Linked DNA regions of Caenorhabditis elegans. The protein of the gene in region 1 purifies or fractionates together with the protein of each later gene. This does not show direct contact. Each region holds a gene or a part of one and is shown in the gene's direction. Other genes may lie near its edges. The genes, in order: Y53C12B.1, F55F8.3 and F13H8.2.

Evidence for each region.
Region 2: the proteins of Y53C12B.1 (region 1) and F55F8.3 fractionate together in Caenorhabditis elegans (co-fractionation; one large-scale study listed by BioGRID). This does not show direct contact.
Region 3: the proteins of Y53C12B.1 (region 1) and F13H8.2 fractionate together in Caenorhabditis elegans (co-fractionation; one large-scale study listed by BioGRID). This does not show direct contact.

The regions. Positions count from the first base shown.
Region 1 is NC_003280.10:9,743,172-9,748,728, reverse strand, and holds the start of Y53C12B.1 (U3 small nucleolar RNA-associated protein 13 C-terminal domain-containing protein), read left to right. Parts: upstream 1-2,650; 5' UTR 2,651-2,661; coding exon 2,662-2,813; intron 2,814-2,960; coding exon 2,961-3,768; intron 3,769-4,071; coding exon 4,072-4,502; intron 4,503-4,547; coding exon 4,548-5,214; intron 5,215-5,274; coding exon 5,275-5,557. Other genes in the region: nos-3 (Nanos-type domain-containing protein), read right to left, coding at 1-304, 403-1,019, 1,064-1,184, 1,320-1,550, 1,696-2,012, 2,226-2,262.
Region 2 is NC_003279.8:5,651,015-5,656,571, reverse strand, and holds the start of F55F8.3 (Periodic tryptophan protein 2 homolog), read left to right. Parts: upstream 1-2,923; 5' UTR 2,924-2,995; coding exon 2,996-3,013; intron 3,014-3,067; coding exon 3,068-3,180; intron 3,181-3,224; coding exon 3,225-3,319; intron 3,320-3,366; coding exon 3,367-3,466; intron 3,467-3,518; coding exon 3,519-3,668; intron 3,669-3,728; coding exon 3,729-3,864; intron 3,865-3,911; coding exon 3,912-4,278; intron 4,279-4,376; coding exon 4,377-4,804; intron 4,805-4,851; coding exon 4,852-5,293; intron 5,294-5,351; coding exon 5,352-5,557. Other genes in the region: wdr-12 (Ribosome biogenesis protein WDR12 homolog), read left to right, coding at 7-132, 183-315, 380-506; cir-1 (CBF1-interacting co-repressor CIR N-terminal domain-containing protein), read left to right, coding at 752-918, 966-1,255, 1,305-1,805, 1,932-2,656.
Region 3 is NC_003280.10:6,267,832-6,273,388, forward strand, and holds the start of F13H8.2 (Small-subunit processome Utp12 domain-containing protein), read left to right. Parts: upstream 1-2,532; 5' UTR 2,533-2,540; coding exon 2,541-2,696; intron 2,697-2,739; coding exon 2,740-2,860; intron 2,861-2,905; coding exon 2,906-3,116; intron 3,117-3,164; coding exon 3,165-3,438; intron 3,439-3,482; coding exon 3,483-3,682; intron 3,683-3,727; coding exon 3,728-4,178; intron 4,179-4,224; coding exon 4,225-4,869; intron 4,870-4,921; coding exon 4,922-5,403; intron 5,404-5,449; coding exon 5,450-5,557.

The DNA.
Region 1 (5,557 bases):
CACGTATTGGTCCTCCCATTTGATTAATTTGTCCACTCATTTGATACGGCGGGCCTCCCATGAGCGGCTCAACACCTCCTGGACGTCTACCTTGCTGTTGCATTTGTTGCATTTGATGGTGAGGCGGCGGAACCATTTGCATATATTGTTGCGGTAGATATTGTCCTGGATGCTGTTGTTGGGTCATTTGTGCATTCATATGAGGATGATTTTGCTGATGGGGATGATTCATCATAGAAGCAGCAGCATGAGGTGGTGGTGGGCCTCCTTGTGGCATTCCGTATGGTTGCATTTGCTGAAACATCTGAGGAATTGTTGTTTGTTCTTTTTAAAAAAAGTGTAACTCTGTGAAATTGTCAAAATATAATATAAAATCTTCCCCTAATTTTTTTAAAGTTGTACCTGCATCTGATGTTGCATTTGGACGGCTTGTTGTTGATCCATTTGTTGATGTTGTTGCTGAGGCTGCGTGAAGTTTCCTGGTGGAGCGTAACCGACAGGCATCTGATTCCAGAGTGGGTTCGATACAAAATCCTGTTGATGGTAGCCTTGTTGAGGTTGTTGTTCATTCTGATGTTGATGTTGCTGACCATCGTCCTCATTTTGACTGTTTCGTTTACTTTTGCGAGCATTTCCTCCGTCTTTTTCCAAACTGCTAGCTCCACCAGCTGGCTCTTGCCGGAACACTCGTGGTGCTGGCACAGGAACATACACCATTGGATACAGCATTGGATGTTGTTGCTGCTGCTGTTGATTCTGTGGATTGTGAGGCATCATTTGAATAATTTGGCCTTGCGGGCCTTGTGGACCCCTATACTGTCCATAAGATTGAGCATTGTGTGGCGGTGGTGGCCGTTGCTGGATTACTGGTCCAGCATAATATTGAGCTTGTCCACTATGTCCCTGCTGTTGATAGGTATTTCCTGGAGGAGGTCCTTGTCCACGGTACTGATCAATTTCATAGTTGCCACTGTTCATCATTTGCTGCTGATTTTGTGGTGGTGGCCCTGCTTGAGGATCTAAAATTATGCTTTTGAACAGAACACAGTAAGTTTGCACCAACTATATTGTGGCCGACCATCGAAATTATCGTTGGGGCCATGAATGACAAAATTATTGTTTCCACCGTTGTTGTCATCCGCGTATCCACTTGGCGGACCACCGCTTTCCATTTGTTGATACTGCTGAAAATAAAGAATTTGCAAAATGTCTATCAACTCTTCTCATTATTTTCCTGTAGATATAATTTCCAAATCATAACGCTCATTAAAAAATTATTATGAGCTAGAAATAATTGAGGAGCCCGTAATTCTCCATACCCGATAGCCTCCTGGTGGTCCTCTTTGGTATTGTCCACCATCGGATCCACCTCCAAACTGCTGCTGTTGATCATATCCTTCTTGTGGTGGTGGTTGTTGTTGCTGATAGCCGGGCGCGCCGACGGTTCCTCCGTAATATGTCATACCATTTGGTGGTCCAGTATGTGGCGGCTGTGGGCGCATTTGAGAGAATTGCTGTTGACCGCTGTTCCGATGATAAGCTGCTCGATGCTGAAAATGAATGAGATAAATTACATGTTTGATATTTCACTGATTTGAAAAATCTCTCAATTCTCTTAAAACCTTGCGCACCTCAAAAGTGTTCTTTTTCTGACTTATCTTTTTTCGATAGGATTTTCAATAGTTTCCTACTTACAAATCCTGGCGGAGCACGTGTCTGTTGAGGTGTGCCCTTTTGGTCGTCAGTCCCTAGCCCAGAATCTGGTGTTGTCCTAGTGGTGTTTCCTGGCGGCTCTGAATACTCAAACGAAATTGCTGACGACACGTTGGCAGTCGAGTTCGGCACCGAATCAGTCGTTGAGGTATGATGGGGGTTGTTGTTGTTTTGGTTTGAGTTTGCAGCGCTGCCGCCGTTTTTCTTGTTGTTATTATTATAGACGGTTGGGGCACGTTGTTGTTGCTGCTGTGAATGTTGCTGGAACTGCTGTCCAGACATTACCAAGTGAACGTTGACTGTAAATGTTGACTATCGAAGTGTTTTAAAATATGCAATATGTTTAGAAAAAGAGAATCAGCAAAATTTTATCGGAATCTATGTTTTCAAAAATAAGGAGCTCAATTGGCAAAGAGTATCAAAGAAAATGAGAAATTGAAAAAGGAACATGTGATTTTGGTAAAACTAGTTTTTAGTTCTCAGTTGAGTGGAAATAACAGAAAAAAACATACTCGGAACACTTTGTGTGTAGAAATGTAATAATTGCATATTTTTCCAGAGTTTATATTGCAAAATGATAATGTTACTAGTTTAAGATAACTCTTATTTGAAGGCGGCAAGGTAATAAGAGAACAAAAAGGTTAGAAATCTATAAAAAGCGTCGGCGAACGCTAATAAATTCATCGATAAAATGCCGAAATGGGTGGGCACTTAAAGGCGCGTAGAATTAAACGGGAAGTGGGTCTCGCAGCGAATAAGTACGGTGACACTTGTTTCGGCATTAGTGTCGATTTACGGAGTCGTTTTTTTAGATCATTTGATAGATTTTAAGTAAATTTCACCTATTTTCTATTCTTTTCATCAACCTTTACAGTTTAAATTATGTTATTCTTATTTTTAACTCTTGATCCCTCAAATAACTGCGTTACTAAAACATTTTAAGGTGAAATGACTGAACCTATCAAGGAAATTGCCGCGAAAAGAAGTGTCGAAGCAGTTTACACCGGAGGAACTGTCAGATGGAGTGCAAATGGTCAGAAACTTTTTTCTACATGCACAAATGTTGTGAAAGTGATTGATCTGGCTGACAATACTGCAAGGTATGTGATGTTGCGACAGAACTTTAAAACAAGTTTCACCCACAAAACTAGAAGTAGATTGATTATGATTATTTGAAAAATTGAATATGAATAATTTTGAAGTTTAATAAAATAAATTAAATTTGAAATGCATCAAATCTTTTGCAGCTATACCATCGGCGACCCTGAAGATGAGCTACGCATTACGTGCACAGCTGTCGACAAGAACAGAAATCGCCTTTTGGTCGCCTATAACAATCAAATAATTCGTGAATACTCAATTCCTTTGGATCCGTCGACAACTAAACCAGAGTTGGCCAGAACATGGAAAACCATACACACTGCTCCTATTCTCGTTATGGAATTCAATGAGGAGGGCCATTTACTGGCGACTGGAAGTGCCGATCACATCGTGAAAGTCTGGAATCTGACAGAGCAACAATGTACACACACATTAAAAGGACCCTCGGTAGTTTCAGCAATTCTGTTCGGAAAACATGAAAAGCTTGTCGTTGGATACATTGAAGGACAATTGAACCTCTATAATATAATGAGAGGTGCTCCGAAAAAACTTGTAAACACATGGAAAAGTCATAATTCTCATATTACCGCACTGCTTCAAGTTCCGGATTCACGAGTTGTTGTGGCTCTTTCGCGAGATCAGACGATGAGTATTCATGAAACAGAAACTCAAGAAACACTCCGAGTTCTTCCACTCTACGAATCAATTGAAGGCGGAGCAATCGGACATAACGGAAATCTTTTCACTGTTGGAGAAGAGGGTGTTGTTAAGGAATTTGTGATTGAAACTGCGAAGTTGGTCAGAAAGAAAAGGATTGCCAGCTCGAATCTCGATCACTTGGCCTACGATGTTGTTTCTAATCGCTTTTTGGCAATTTCCGCCGAACAAAATCTTATAATTTTGGATTTTGAAAATCTGAAAATTGCAAGACAAATTGTTGGATTCCATGACGAAGTGAGTTTTATAGTTGACCTTGAAAGAAAAACAATGATTGCAAATTGGAATTGAAAACCATTTGTTGATATCATTTTTGTCATATCAAGTTGCTTTAATGTATAATTTTTCGAATGTAAATCTTTTATACAAAATTCGTAAAAAAACACCGAAAAACGAAAATATTTGATTTTATCATTTTTTTAATAATTTTTTCTTTGAATATTACCACTTTTAATATGCTCTCAAATTGCCAAGTAATATTTCTACGAATAGTAATAATTGGATTTAAGAACCTTCTTAATTATTATTCCCTATCTTCAGATCTATTCGTGCTGTCTTCTTGGAAAAGATGAATCTCACATGGCTGTCGCTTCCAATACTTCTGAAATCCGACTCTACAACACTAAAACCCTGGATTGTCAATTAATTCGTGGTCACACAGAATCAGTTCTTTCCGTAGTATCTCCTACCTGGGACACATCTCTACTGGCATCATGTTCTAAAGATAATTCGATTATCTTTTGGAGACTTGTAACATCTCCTGAAAATGACTCTTGCTCCACTCTGGTCCCAGTTGCGGCAGCTACAGGACATGCAAATACAGTAACTGCTCTAGCGATTTCCAATACCGGACGAGCTCCTTTCCTGGCATCAGTATCAACGGATTGTACTATCAAATTGTGGGGATTGGGAGTTTCTACAAAACTAAAAGAAGTCAAAATTGATGCAGAAAAAGATTTTGTCGAACAGCTGTAAGTTTGAAAACATTTTTATTGCGAAAATAATTCACTTTCCAGCCCAAAACTGACATGCAGTTCAACAATGGTTGCACATGGAAAAGATGTGAATTGTGTTGATATTTCCGAATCGGATGCTCTTATTGCCACTGGAGGAATGGATAAACTAGTAAAATTATGGCAAGTGGATACTCACAAAATGCAATTGGGAATCGCTGGAACTCTATCAGGACATCGTCGTGGAGTTGGAGATGTTAAATTTGCAAAGAATTCTCACAAACTTGCATCTTGCAGTGGAGATATGACCATTAAAATCTGGAACATCTCGGAAAAATCTTGTCTTCAAACCATTTCCGGACATTCTTGTGCTGTATTCCGAGTGATATTCGCTCGCAACGATTCTCAGTTGATCTCTGCAGACAGTGCTGGAATCATCAAGATTTGGACAATCAAAACTGCTGATTGTGAATGTTCCATTGATGCGCATACTGACAAAATTTGGTCGCTTTCGAAAAATCATAACGAGTCAGAGTTTGTGACTGCTGGAACTGATGGGCGGATTGTTGTCTGGAAGGATGTTACAGAGGAGAAACAAAAAGCCGAGGATAATAAGAGAAGAGAGGCTATTGAACAAGATCAGACTTTGACAAATTTATTGAGTCAGAAGAGATATTCGGAAGCTCTCGTGTTTGCACTGACTCTAGCCAAACCGTTTTGTGCTTTTAAGGTGATTAGTTAAATTCTATTAAATGAGTTTTGAATTATCCATTTTAAACTTTCTTTCCAGGTTATAAATGCTCTGATGGCTGAGGAGACACCAGAAGAACTCGGTTCCGCAATTCGCCGCCTTGACACCCGTCAAATTGAGATTCTACTGCAATTCACAGTGAAATGGAACACGAATAGTCGAACATCGTCAGTTGCACAACGAGTTTTGTACGAAATTGTTCATATCGTGGATCCAGAGGAGTTAGTGTCAATGCCCGGTGCATATGGATATATTGAATCATTCCTACCGTACACCCAACGGCACATGGATCGATTGGATCGGGCAAAGCAAGATGTTAGCC
Region 2 (5,557 bases), on another chromosome or scaffold:
TTCAAGCTGGTGAAATTTCGCGGATCAAAGGACCCAAATCATTCACAAGCATTGATCTTCATCCGAAGAGTGATCTTCTCATCTCCAGTTGTACTGATGCTATTCCAAGACTTTATGATCCAAAAAATAGAGGTTTGTTTGTTAATATTTATTTAGTCTCTTGTATTTATAAAACATTTCAGATGGAAGTATGGTTAAACAATCATTCATTGGACATCAAAATGGATGGGTTGAAGCTGTCAAATGGAATCCGTTGGATACAAATCAATTTGTTAGTGTTTCCACCGACAAAACTGCGAAAATGTGGGATGTAAGGTAGGTCTTGTTTCAAAAATTAAAGAACCATTCAGTTTTTACTTTAATATTCGGTTTGTTTCAGATCCTCAAAGTCTTCATTGTTCGACATTCATGGACACGATGATCGTATTTTGTGTGCCACGTGGAATGAAGGACTAATTGCAACTGGATCCGCAGACTGCACAATCAAAATCTTTGAGACTGCTTGATTTGTTTTGTTTTTTGTTATTCTACAAATTCTTATATTGTTTTTTTTTCTATATACCGCGTTTTCTATTTGTTGATTTTGATTTTTTGTTGAACTTTTTATGAAGTTATCCACTTGAATTTATTTTCCATTACCTTCTGACAGTTTTGAACTGTGTTAAATATTTCAATTATTTTTCTTTCTTCAATTTTTCATTCAAGTATTTTCAGAATTTTTCAGTGAGAATCAAAACAAAAGCGTTGCAAAATGGGGAAGGGTTTTCAAAACTTCATGTCCAAAAAGGACTTCCATCCATCCGCTTTTCGGAATCTCAAAATGGTCTGGGAAGCACGACAGAAGAAGTCTTTGGAGGACAAACGACAAGAAGAACTTCGAGTTGCTTATGAGAAAGAGCAAGAAATTTTGAATAACAAGTATGTTGCATTCAATATCTTCTCACTAGATTATAAATATTTTTCAGAGCTCTTCTTGGAGACGAAAAGGCCAAAATGGGATTATCGTTCATGTATGATGCTCCAGCTGGAATGACAAAGAGAGAAGAACCGAAAGAAGAGCCGAAATTCGAATGGCAACGGAAATATCAAGCACCACGTGAAGATTGGGCTAAAGGAAATGAAGAGATCCAAGATCAACCATTCGGAATTCAAGTTAGAAATGTTCGATGCTGTAAATGCCACAAATGGGGTCATATAAATACGGATCGAGAATGTCCATTGTTCGGAAAATCTGGAAATTTTGAAGATGAAGGATGTAAGTTTCCGAAAAAAAATCGAATTAAATGTGTAAAATCAATTTTCAGATGCAAATAATCCATCAGACCTAATCAAAGATCTTCGTCGGAGACGACAGGAAGGCAAAGCAGGACCTTCAACATCGAAATCGTCTGCTGCTGCGGCGACAGGAGAAGATGACGATGAGGATGAGTGGATGGATCATCAGCAACTTGCGAGTGATATGCGTGAAGAACATGGAATCAAACTCAAAAGTTCTGTTTTGGCTGGAATGCAGACAGATCAACAGCTAACAAGAATGAAAAAAGAAATGACCGAAGAAGAAATGATGCTGGAGTTTTTCAATTCGATGACTGAAAAGGAAAAAAAGAAATTGCATAAGAAGCTGATGAGCGGTGCAGATTTGGAAGATGTAATGAAGAAGAAGAGTAAAAAAGAGAAGAAGAAGGAAAAGAAAGAGAAACGGAAGAATAAAGACAAGAAGAAAGATAAGAAGAAAAATAAGAAGAGCAAATCTCGTGAAACTGATGACGATTCTGATGGCAGCGATAGTGAGGATGATTGGAAAGGTATTTAAAGATGAGGTTTTTACATAATTAATTTGATCCTAAACACTTGTTCATTGATATCAAATATTAACGAAACGCTTAGAGTAGTTATTAGTTTCTCGATTTTTCAACCAGTTCATGTTTCAGAAAAATCATCGAAAAGGATCAAAAGAGAAGTGGAAAGTTCTCCGGAATACAGATCGAAGTATATCAAGCAGGAAGTTTTATCAGAAGACGAGAATTCCCATGGAAGAAAGGATTCGAGCCGAAAAAGAGCGCATAATGATTCAGAATCGTCAAACGAAGTAAGATCGTCAGAGAGGAAGAGATCTCGAAGAGATGATTCTCCGAACGCCAAAAGAAGTATCGGGTTGAAATCGCCGGAGAGGAGAAGCTCACGAGATCGGAAATCTTCACCCAAACAACGTCAGGATTCACCAGTGAGAAGACGGCGAAGTCCATCGTCGATTCGGAAGGAAAGTCAGCGTGTTCGTAAACATTCACCAGAACAAAAAAGAAATGGCCGTCATGATTCACGATCAGTGTCCCCTGTTAGAAGACGTCGTTCTCCGTCTCCTGACAATCGTCAGCTGGGTTCGAGAAAACAATACTCGCCACTGCGACGTCGCCAATCATCTCCGATGGTTGCATCACCAAGAAGACGTAGATCTCCATCACCAGAACGACAGCGCAAGAGACGTTCACCATCCGATTCCCCGCCAACAAGGCGTCTTTCTACGTCACCGATCCGACGTCGTAGAAGTCCATCGCCCAACAAGTTGCCTGTGAGAAGGCGTCGTCATGATTCCGGATCGCCTGATCGTGATGGATCTGAATCACCGAAAATGTGGAGAAAGAAGTCGCATAAATGAACGCTATTCAAATCAATTTTTAAAATTATTAAATGTGGTTTTCTTTTAAATTTTTTCCGTCATGTCTAATAAAGTATTTTCACACATTTTTGCTGTTTATAAATTTCTTGTATTTGGTGTTTTATAAATAATATTCTTAAGAATATTCTTCAATGGAAATGTTTTTATCTCTCATTGCGATACTTCTAAAATCCGCAATTGCGTCAACGCACGAGAATTGCGCCAATGAAGATTCTTAGCGCGGAATTCGTGCTTTGTATTTTATATAAATAAAATATATTTTAGTTTTCATTATTTCTTCCATTTTCAGCTTGTTTCATTGAAGTCTTGCCATTCACTATGGACACTAATTTCAAGGTAATTATTTGAAGCGTTAATTATTCAATTAATATTCCACCAAACCCATTTTAGTTGTCCAATTGCATTGGTACAGTGTATCGAGACGGTCAAGTGGCGTTCAGCAAAGATGGATACTCAGTGATTTCACCTATTGGCAACAAGCTATCAATTTTTGATCTCAGAAAGTAAAAAATAATTTTATATTCACATTTGATATATAATTTTTCAGCAATACTTCAAAAACATTGGATATTGACTGCAATTACAACATTAAAAGACTCTCTATTAGTCCATCGGGTTATCATCTTCTTGCTTCTGACGAGCGTGGGTTATAATGAAACCTATTCGAAGTCAATATTAATATTCTTCAGGTGGAGTTGTTCACTTTGTCCATTTGCTGTCCGAATTCAAAATATATACTTTTCGCAGCAACAAACCGATCGGATCACTTCAGTGGTCACCAGACGCAACGTAAGAAAAAAGCAAATAATTGCAGTTTCTAAACTCATATTTTCATTTCCAGCCGAGTTGCTATTTGCCGTGAAAACGACCTTCAGATCCATGAATTTGGCAAAAGCATCGAAAATAAAGTTTATAACCCGTTCAGTCTGTCAAGAACCTACAAATTGAGCAGTGATAGTCTCAAAACAATTGACTGGTCAGATGATGCAAAGTTAGTTTTTTTTTTGAAAATGAAACGTTTTTTTCCCAATACCCACTAAATAATTTCCAGTCTCCTCGTTTCTGGTGGTGAGGACAGAGTTGTTCGAGTTGTTGGTGCAAAAGATTTCAAAAATTTGTTCATTCACCCACTGGCTTCACACAAAGGATATATTGTAAATTGTCAATTCATGAAGAACTCTTACGATGTTAGTTTGATATATGATGTTTCCTTTATCAGTGGCTACTTTTCCAGATGATTACAGTATGTAAACGTGGACTTGCAAACGTTTGGACATGTAATCTGCGTCCAGGAGAGTTGGTTGAAGGAATCTGGAAGAAAGATGAAGAAGGATCAGATGATATTGAAATGTTGGAAGATGGAGAACAGAAAGTCGAGAAAATTTTCTTTGAAAAAACAAAAAAATATTGGTTATCTGAATCGTCGGGCTCAGGAAAGTCTGTGGATGTGACTGCAGCTAGATTTCACAAAGAAACTAATATTTTGGCAACTGCGTTCAATAATGGAGTTATTGTTCTTCATGAAATTCCTTCGTTTGCTTTGGTTCACAATTTAAGAGTTTCTGAAATGAGAATTCAAACGGTTGCTTGGAATCTTACAGGTTATTGATTTTTACAAAAATGTAGATTTCTTTAAGTGAAATTTATGTTAAAGATCAGAGTCCTACCAAAAAACTGTAAACCTTTATAAAACTTTTAGGCGACTGGTTGGCAATTGGTTGCGGAAAAGGTTCAACAGCTCAGTTGGTCGTATGGGAATGGCAATCCGAATCATATGTAATGAAGCAGCAAGCTCATTCTCTTCGTATCACTACTGCAGAATATTCCCCCGATGGCTCACTTATGGCTACTGGAGCTGAAGATGGAAAAGTGAAGATTTGGAATTCTCGTTCCTCGTTCTGTACGGTCACATTTGATGAACACACTTCTGGTGTAACAGCTGTGAAATGGACACAATCTGGAAGAGCTATCCTAAGTGCATCACTCGATGGAACTGTTCGTGCACATGATCTCAAAAGATATCGAAATTTCCGTACTCTCGTGTGTCCTGAACCAACTCAATTGGCTACGTTAGCAGTTGATAAAGCAGGAGATTTGGTTATTGCTGGAGCTAAGGAAGTTTTCAATGTAAGTTTGAAATATTTTCCAAACAAATTTTATTTTCTTATTTTCAGATTTACATTTGGTCTTTCGAAACAGGTCACCTGTTGGATATTCTCTCAGGACATGAATCTGCAATCTCGTCAATCGATATTCACGGAAATCATATTGTCAGTGGTTCATGGGATAGGACGATCAAAATGTGGACAATTGTCGATTCACAAGCAGAAACTGTCGAAGTATCACATGAAGCACTCGATGTCAAATTTTCTCCGGCTGGAGATGAGATTGCTGTTCTTACATCGGATGGAGTCATCACTTTCTTTGAAGCAAAGGAAATGATTAATTTGGGAAGTATTGATACTAAATTGGATACTGATCCGGCTCGTGGATCACGTGACACAATTACAAGACAATCGGCGGCCAAAACAAAAACATTCACGAGAATTCGATTCTCTCCCGATGGAAATTTATTATTGGCTGGTGGAGAATCGAATAATTTCTGTCTTTACTCAGGTAATAGATTTTTTTAAAAGTTTTTAGAATTTTCAAACAATTTAATATTTTTTTTCAGTTCCGGAGCGTATGATTCTGAAGAAATGGCAAATAACAGCTAATCGAAGTCTCGATGGAGTTATTTTGGATTTCAATCGACGAAACTTCACAGAATTTGGAAATATGCAACTAGTGGATACTTCTGATGAAGAGGATGAGCTGGAGCCAAACAACAAAATGTCAATTAAGCTTCCTGGAACAAAAAATTTTGATTTGGGAGAACGA
Region 3 (5,557 bases), 3.5 Mb from region 1:
TTCATAATCCAACCCACAAGTCGAGCCAACAAGCGTAGCTTGTTTCCGCCAAGACTCTACGGCAAAAACCACAACACTTGGGCAACTTGATCTTCGGTTACCGAAAAGTTGCCGAACTCTTGGCAGTGGCCGGTTACCAGAGAGCCCCGCTTCCCACCTGTGACAGATCAAACTCGAATCAACTGTGCGCGTTCTGCTGAACAGAAATCGAAACCTACCTTTTGAATTTTGTTGCTAATATTTTAAAAACTGATTTTTCTTCAAAATATGAAGATTCTTGATGATCTTATCTGAATGACCCGTCCAACACGCTATACAAATATTCATTCTGATAGTTACATGTATTTAAATAAATAATTTTGTTCAAACTTTTTATTTTTATTACTAAATAAGTTTTCCTTAACATTAGAAAGAGTGAAATATTGGATTTTTATTCATTCATATACATTTTTCAAATACATATTTCCTCAAAAGGCGGAGGAATCAAAAACTGTCAAATGTTATAGTATCTAATTAGCTAAACCTTTGTTTACCTGATTTAAAGTTTCTAATAACTCCTCGGTAGCGAACTACTGTTTTTTTTTTCAGAAAATGACCGTATGGAAAACGGGTTACTGTATCTTGTGTCGATTTACGGGTATACAAGAACAAAAACACTATACAACAATTTGTGAAAAGTTGTTTTCAATTAAAAAAAACATAAAAGTTCGGCAATGATAAAATCCTGGAGAGAATTTCTGGTTCTTTTCAGGCGCAGGTAACCGTCAGGCGATTTTTGGAGACCCGAAGAACTCGGGGGATGTCCAACTGGGGGGATTCCCAACTCGGGGGATTGGCCACGCCCACAGAACCGTGCCTTACAATACGCCCATTTCTGCAACCTCCGCACGGTTTTGAACGATGATTTTCTTCATTGTTTTTTGGGGGAGAAAATTCAATTTCGACTCTAAAAAGTTCAATTTGAATTGTTTTTCTTCGTTTTTTCAGCCATTTTCGCAAAAAGAAGTATTTTTCAACCGTGACTTGTTAATTCGCCCTCCTTAATTCGTGTATTCCTTTTGTTAATCTCTTTCCCTCTCATATTTTATTGATTTTTTTAATTTCTAGACTTCGTCGAATCGAGGGACCATCAAAATTGCACGGATGAAACAAGGATGTGCTTCTCCAGTCCACCCACGTTAGTATTATATTCTCAAATTGTAGAAAGTAGGAAAAAAATTGATTTAAGAACAAAAATTGAAATAGTTTAACAAAAAATTAATGAAATATCTTCGGATCGAACATATATGGACTTATAGAGGCATTGAAATCGTTGAAACAGCTATAATTTGCTGTCACTGCTCTTTTGAAGTCGGAATTTCTGCATAGTGGCGGGCGATCAGTTCTTCTTCGCAATAACCATGTTATTTTGAATGTTCTTTTTGAATTTAAGCCAAAAGCCTCTAAAAACTAAGCGAATCTGATAATAGACCAGATAAAATCTTTTTTCATTTATATATCAGCGATGTCTTTATGAAAGTTCTAATTTAAATTTTTCAGATCCGCCCGAGCTGCTCATCCTCCAAATTCTTCCGTTTTCATGACAAATTATTGTTTTTTTTGTTGAAATTATGCAATTCATTAAATGTAATATTATCCTTATCTGTAAATAATTATCATGATCAATAAAATCTCGCTCTTAATGTTCAATGAATAGCTTGCAAACCAATTTGTACAATAATTTCATTGAACAATTTCCGTCGGCTCTGAAAAACATTTCATGACAATTTTTCAGGTTATCTTATTCGAATTTTTTAAATAGAACTCGTTCTACGTTCTTCACTTCGTCTCCTCTCGTGTAAATTGTTCTTTCCTTGCAAATAATCGATTTTTACGCGTCCCCTTTCCGTGTAAATTGTTGTTTCACTGCGAAATATCGATTTTTTTGAAATATTTTACTTTTATTCCGCGAAAACGACTCAAAAACCGAAAAAAACAATTCAAATTGAACTTTTTAGAGTCGAAATTGATTTTTCTCCCCCAAAAAACAATGAAGAAAAATCATCATTCAAAACCGTGCGGAGGTTGCAGAAATGGGCGTATTGTAAGGCACGGTTCTGTGGGCGTGGCCAATCCCCCGAGTTGGGAATCCCCCCAGTTGGACATCCCCCGAGTTCTTCGGGTCTCGATTTTTGTAGATCCTCAAATTTAAACTTCCCTCCTTTTTCACAATCTGTGCATTTCCTCGTAGTCGTGTTTGCGGACAATGCGCGTCAATTGACATCTCAATCTTTTTTGATAATTATTTCTCGAGTTTTATAATTATGTTTTTTCCGTATTGCGTTTGCGTCTCTAGATAATAAATACATGTTAAATTTTGCACATCTTTTTTTCATTCGAAATTGTTCAATGGTCTATAATTATTTCCGAGTTCTGCTTTGCTATTTGCACACAACCCAATTTTCGAGTTGTTGGCTCTTTTTTCATCACCAAAAACATTGTCAATTATGTTTTTATAAACCTATTGGAATTGCCCAAAAATTATAATTGTTTGTTTTCAGATGGGATTGACCAAGGATTATTTGAAATATGAACATGCCGGCTCCTGTGGGTGCGTTGGATCTGCCAACGGCCAACTTGTTGCGATTGATGGACAAACCGTTGCTGTATCGGCAAATGAATATTTAAATTTCTACAACATGAGAACTGCAGAAAAGGTTTATTAAAATACAAATCACATTAATTTGTAAATATTTTCAGGTTAACGAAATTATTGAATCTACAAAGCCAATTTCGTGTGTTCGGCAATGCGAGAACAAACCGCTTCTTGCAATTGGATATGCCGATGGTTCAGTGAAGTTGTTCAATCAAGAAAATGAAGGTTTTAATTTGATTATTCAATCAAAATCACAACAATTGCATTCAGATTCTGAACCAATTATGTTCTCTGGTCACAAGAAAGCTGTGAACTGCATCGAGTTTAGCAGTGATGGCCTTCTGTTTGCGACGGGTGGAAAAGATGGAGTCATTGTTCTGTGGGACATTCTTGCCGAACGTGGAATGTTTCGTTTACACGGCCACAAGGAATCAGTCACACAAATGAAATTTGTCCGCGGTGATAGATTCATAATTTCCACGTATGTTTCAACTTAATTTTATTGAAGTAATGTGCTTGTTTCTCTCAGATCGAAAGACAGTTTGATCAAGTTTTGGAGTATTGCCTCGCAGTCATGCTTTTATACAGTGATGGACAGCCGAAACGAAATTTATTCAATGAGCTTGCATCGTGATGAAACAGTACTTGTAGCTGCAACTGCTGAATTAGAATTGCTTGTTTTCGAACTCAATTGGAAAAATGGCGCTATCTTTGAACAAGAAGTAAAAAGTGAAGAACCTTCTGCAAAGAAAGCAACAAACGATGATGAAAAGGAAGATGATGTTCTTGCTAATATGGCCAATGTAATAGTTTTCTAAAAAAATAAGTTATTATAATCAATGTTCAGAGATATATCACGACAAAGCTGCGCGGAAGAGTGATCCGTCAGAGCAAAGGAAGAGCTCTGCAATTGGTCGCAACTCATGATGATCGATTCTTAGTATGTGTTGGTGCTGATAAAGTGGCCGACGTCTATAGAGTCTTCTCCGAAACCGAATCTGCAAAAAGGCTTACCAAAAAGTTAAAAAGTGCTAAACGAAAAGCGACGTAAGTTGTCAATAAATAACTGTTTCATCAACTACATTTTCTCAGATCTGACACAACAACAGTTAACGAGGATGATGTGGCAAAAGATGTGACAATTCTTGTTACTCGCATTGGAGAGATGGTTTTACCTCATAAAATCAAGTGGATTGATGTTGTGAGATCAGTCAAAACAAACGAAAACACTTTAATTTATAAGTGGTATGCACTTCTCACAGACAACACAGTTCATTGGGTCAAAATGAGTATTGAAACTACGTCAAATAGTGTTGAATGTGATAGTGTTGGTAATCTAGACAAACTCGGTCACAGAGAAGATGTACGTGCTTTATGTGTATCTTCTTCTTCAAGTCTTCTTGCTTCTGGAGGTGGAAATGAAGTAATTGTATGGAGTACACACTCATTGCGGTCGTCATTAACATTGACTGACAACGATATCAAAGACATTGTCGCAGTTAATTTTGTTCCTGGTGATAACTACATTTTAACTGGTGGAAAGGTATTGTGTTGTATAATATTTTTTGAAGTTAACTTTGTCATTGCAGAACGGAGAAATCGGCGTGTTCGAGTTAAGTAGTGCCGAGCTGGTTGAAACAAGAAAAGCACACACTGGAGCGATTTGGACTATTCAAAATTCACCTGACAATGAAGGATTTATCACGGCTTCTGCAGATAAGACGGTTCGATTTTGGTCATTTGTGCTGGTGACAGAAGGATCAAGAAAGAGAATTTCCATCAAAGAACAAAAAGTTCTCGAACTTCCCGATGAAGCATTGGCTGCAAGTTTCTCTGCGGATGGAAAATTTCTTGTTGTGGCTCTTCTGAATAACACATGTTCAGTGTATTTTGTTAATACGCTTAAATTCTTTGTTTCTCTATACGGACATTCACTGCCTGTCACATGTGTCGATATTGCACCTTCCAGTAAACTTTGTGTCACTGGATCCGTCGATAAATCAGTCAAAGTATGGGGATTGGATTTCGGTGATTGTCATAAATCATTCCATGCACACGATGATGCAGTAACTTCGGTTTTATTCTGTCCTGGAGAAGAACAACTCTTCTGGAGCGCCGGAAAAGATGGAAAAATTAAACAATGGGATGCAGTGAAATTTATTATGGTTCAAGTTCTTGATCGACACACTTTGGATATTCGTTGTTTGGCTCAGTTTACTAATGGATCTGTTATGGTGAGTATTATAAAGTGAAAAATACCTGTTAATTCAAAATATTGATTTTCAGTTCTCTGCTTCTCATGACAAGTCAATCCGTTGCTGGGAGAAAACCGATGAAATTTTAATTGTCGAGGAACGAGAGGAAGTTGAAAGAGAAGAAGAATACGAGAAAAAACTTATTGAAGAGGAAGACGTTGTTGCTGGTGAAAATGCTGACAATGAAGCTGGTGTGGCTAGCAGCAAGACAAGTTCCAGTGTTGTATCCGCTGAAAATATCATTCAAGCAGTTGACATTGCTAGAAACGAGAAGGTTCAACGCCAAGAAGATCCAGGGCATGAACCACATCCTCTTATTGGAGCGTATAACAGTAAATCATTGGATCATTTCATCGTTGATGTCGTCGCCAAATGTAGAGCCAGCGACCTTGATAGAACACTGCTTCTAGTACCTCTCTCCTACGTTGCGGACATCCTTCTGGCTATTTCATCTTGCACACAACAACAGTATAAAGCTGAATTGTGCACCCATGTTGCTGTATATCTAACAAGGTTTGTCTGAAAACTTTAAAAATGACTGCAACCACTTTTTTTGTAGAATCCACCTCAGTCACATCACTGCCTCGTCCGATTATGTCCCAATCTTCGAACAAATGAAATCGAAAATGTCCGAGGGTGTGGAAAAATTGAGAAATGTCACTGGAAT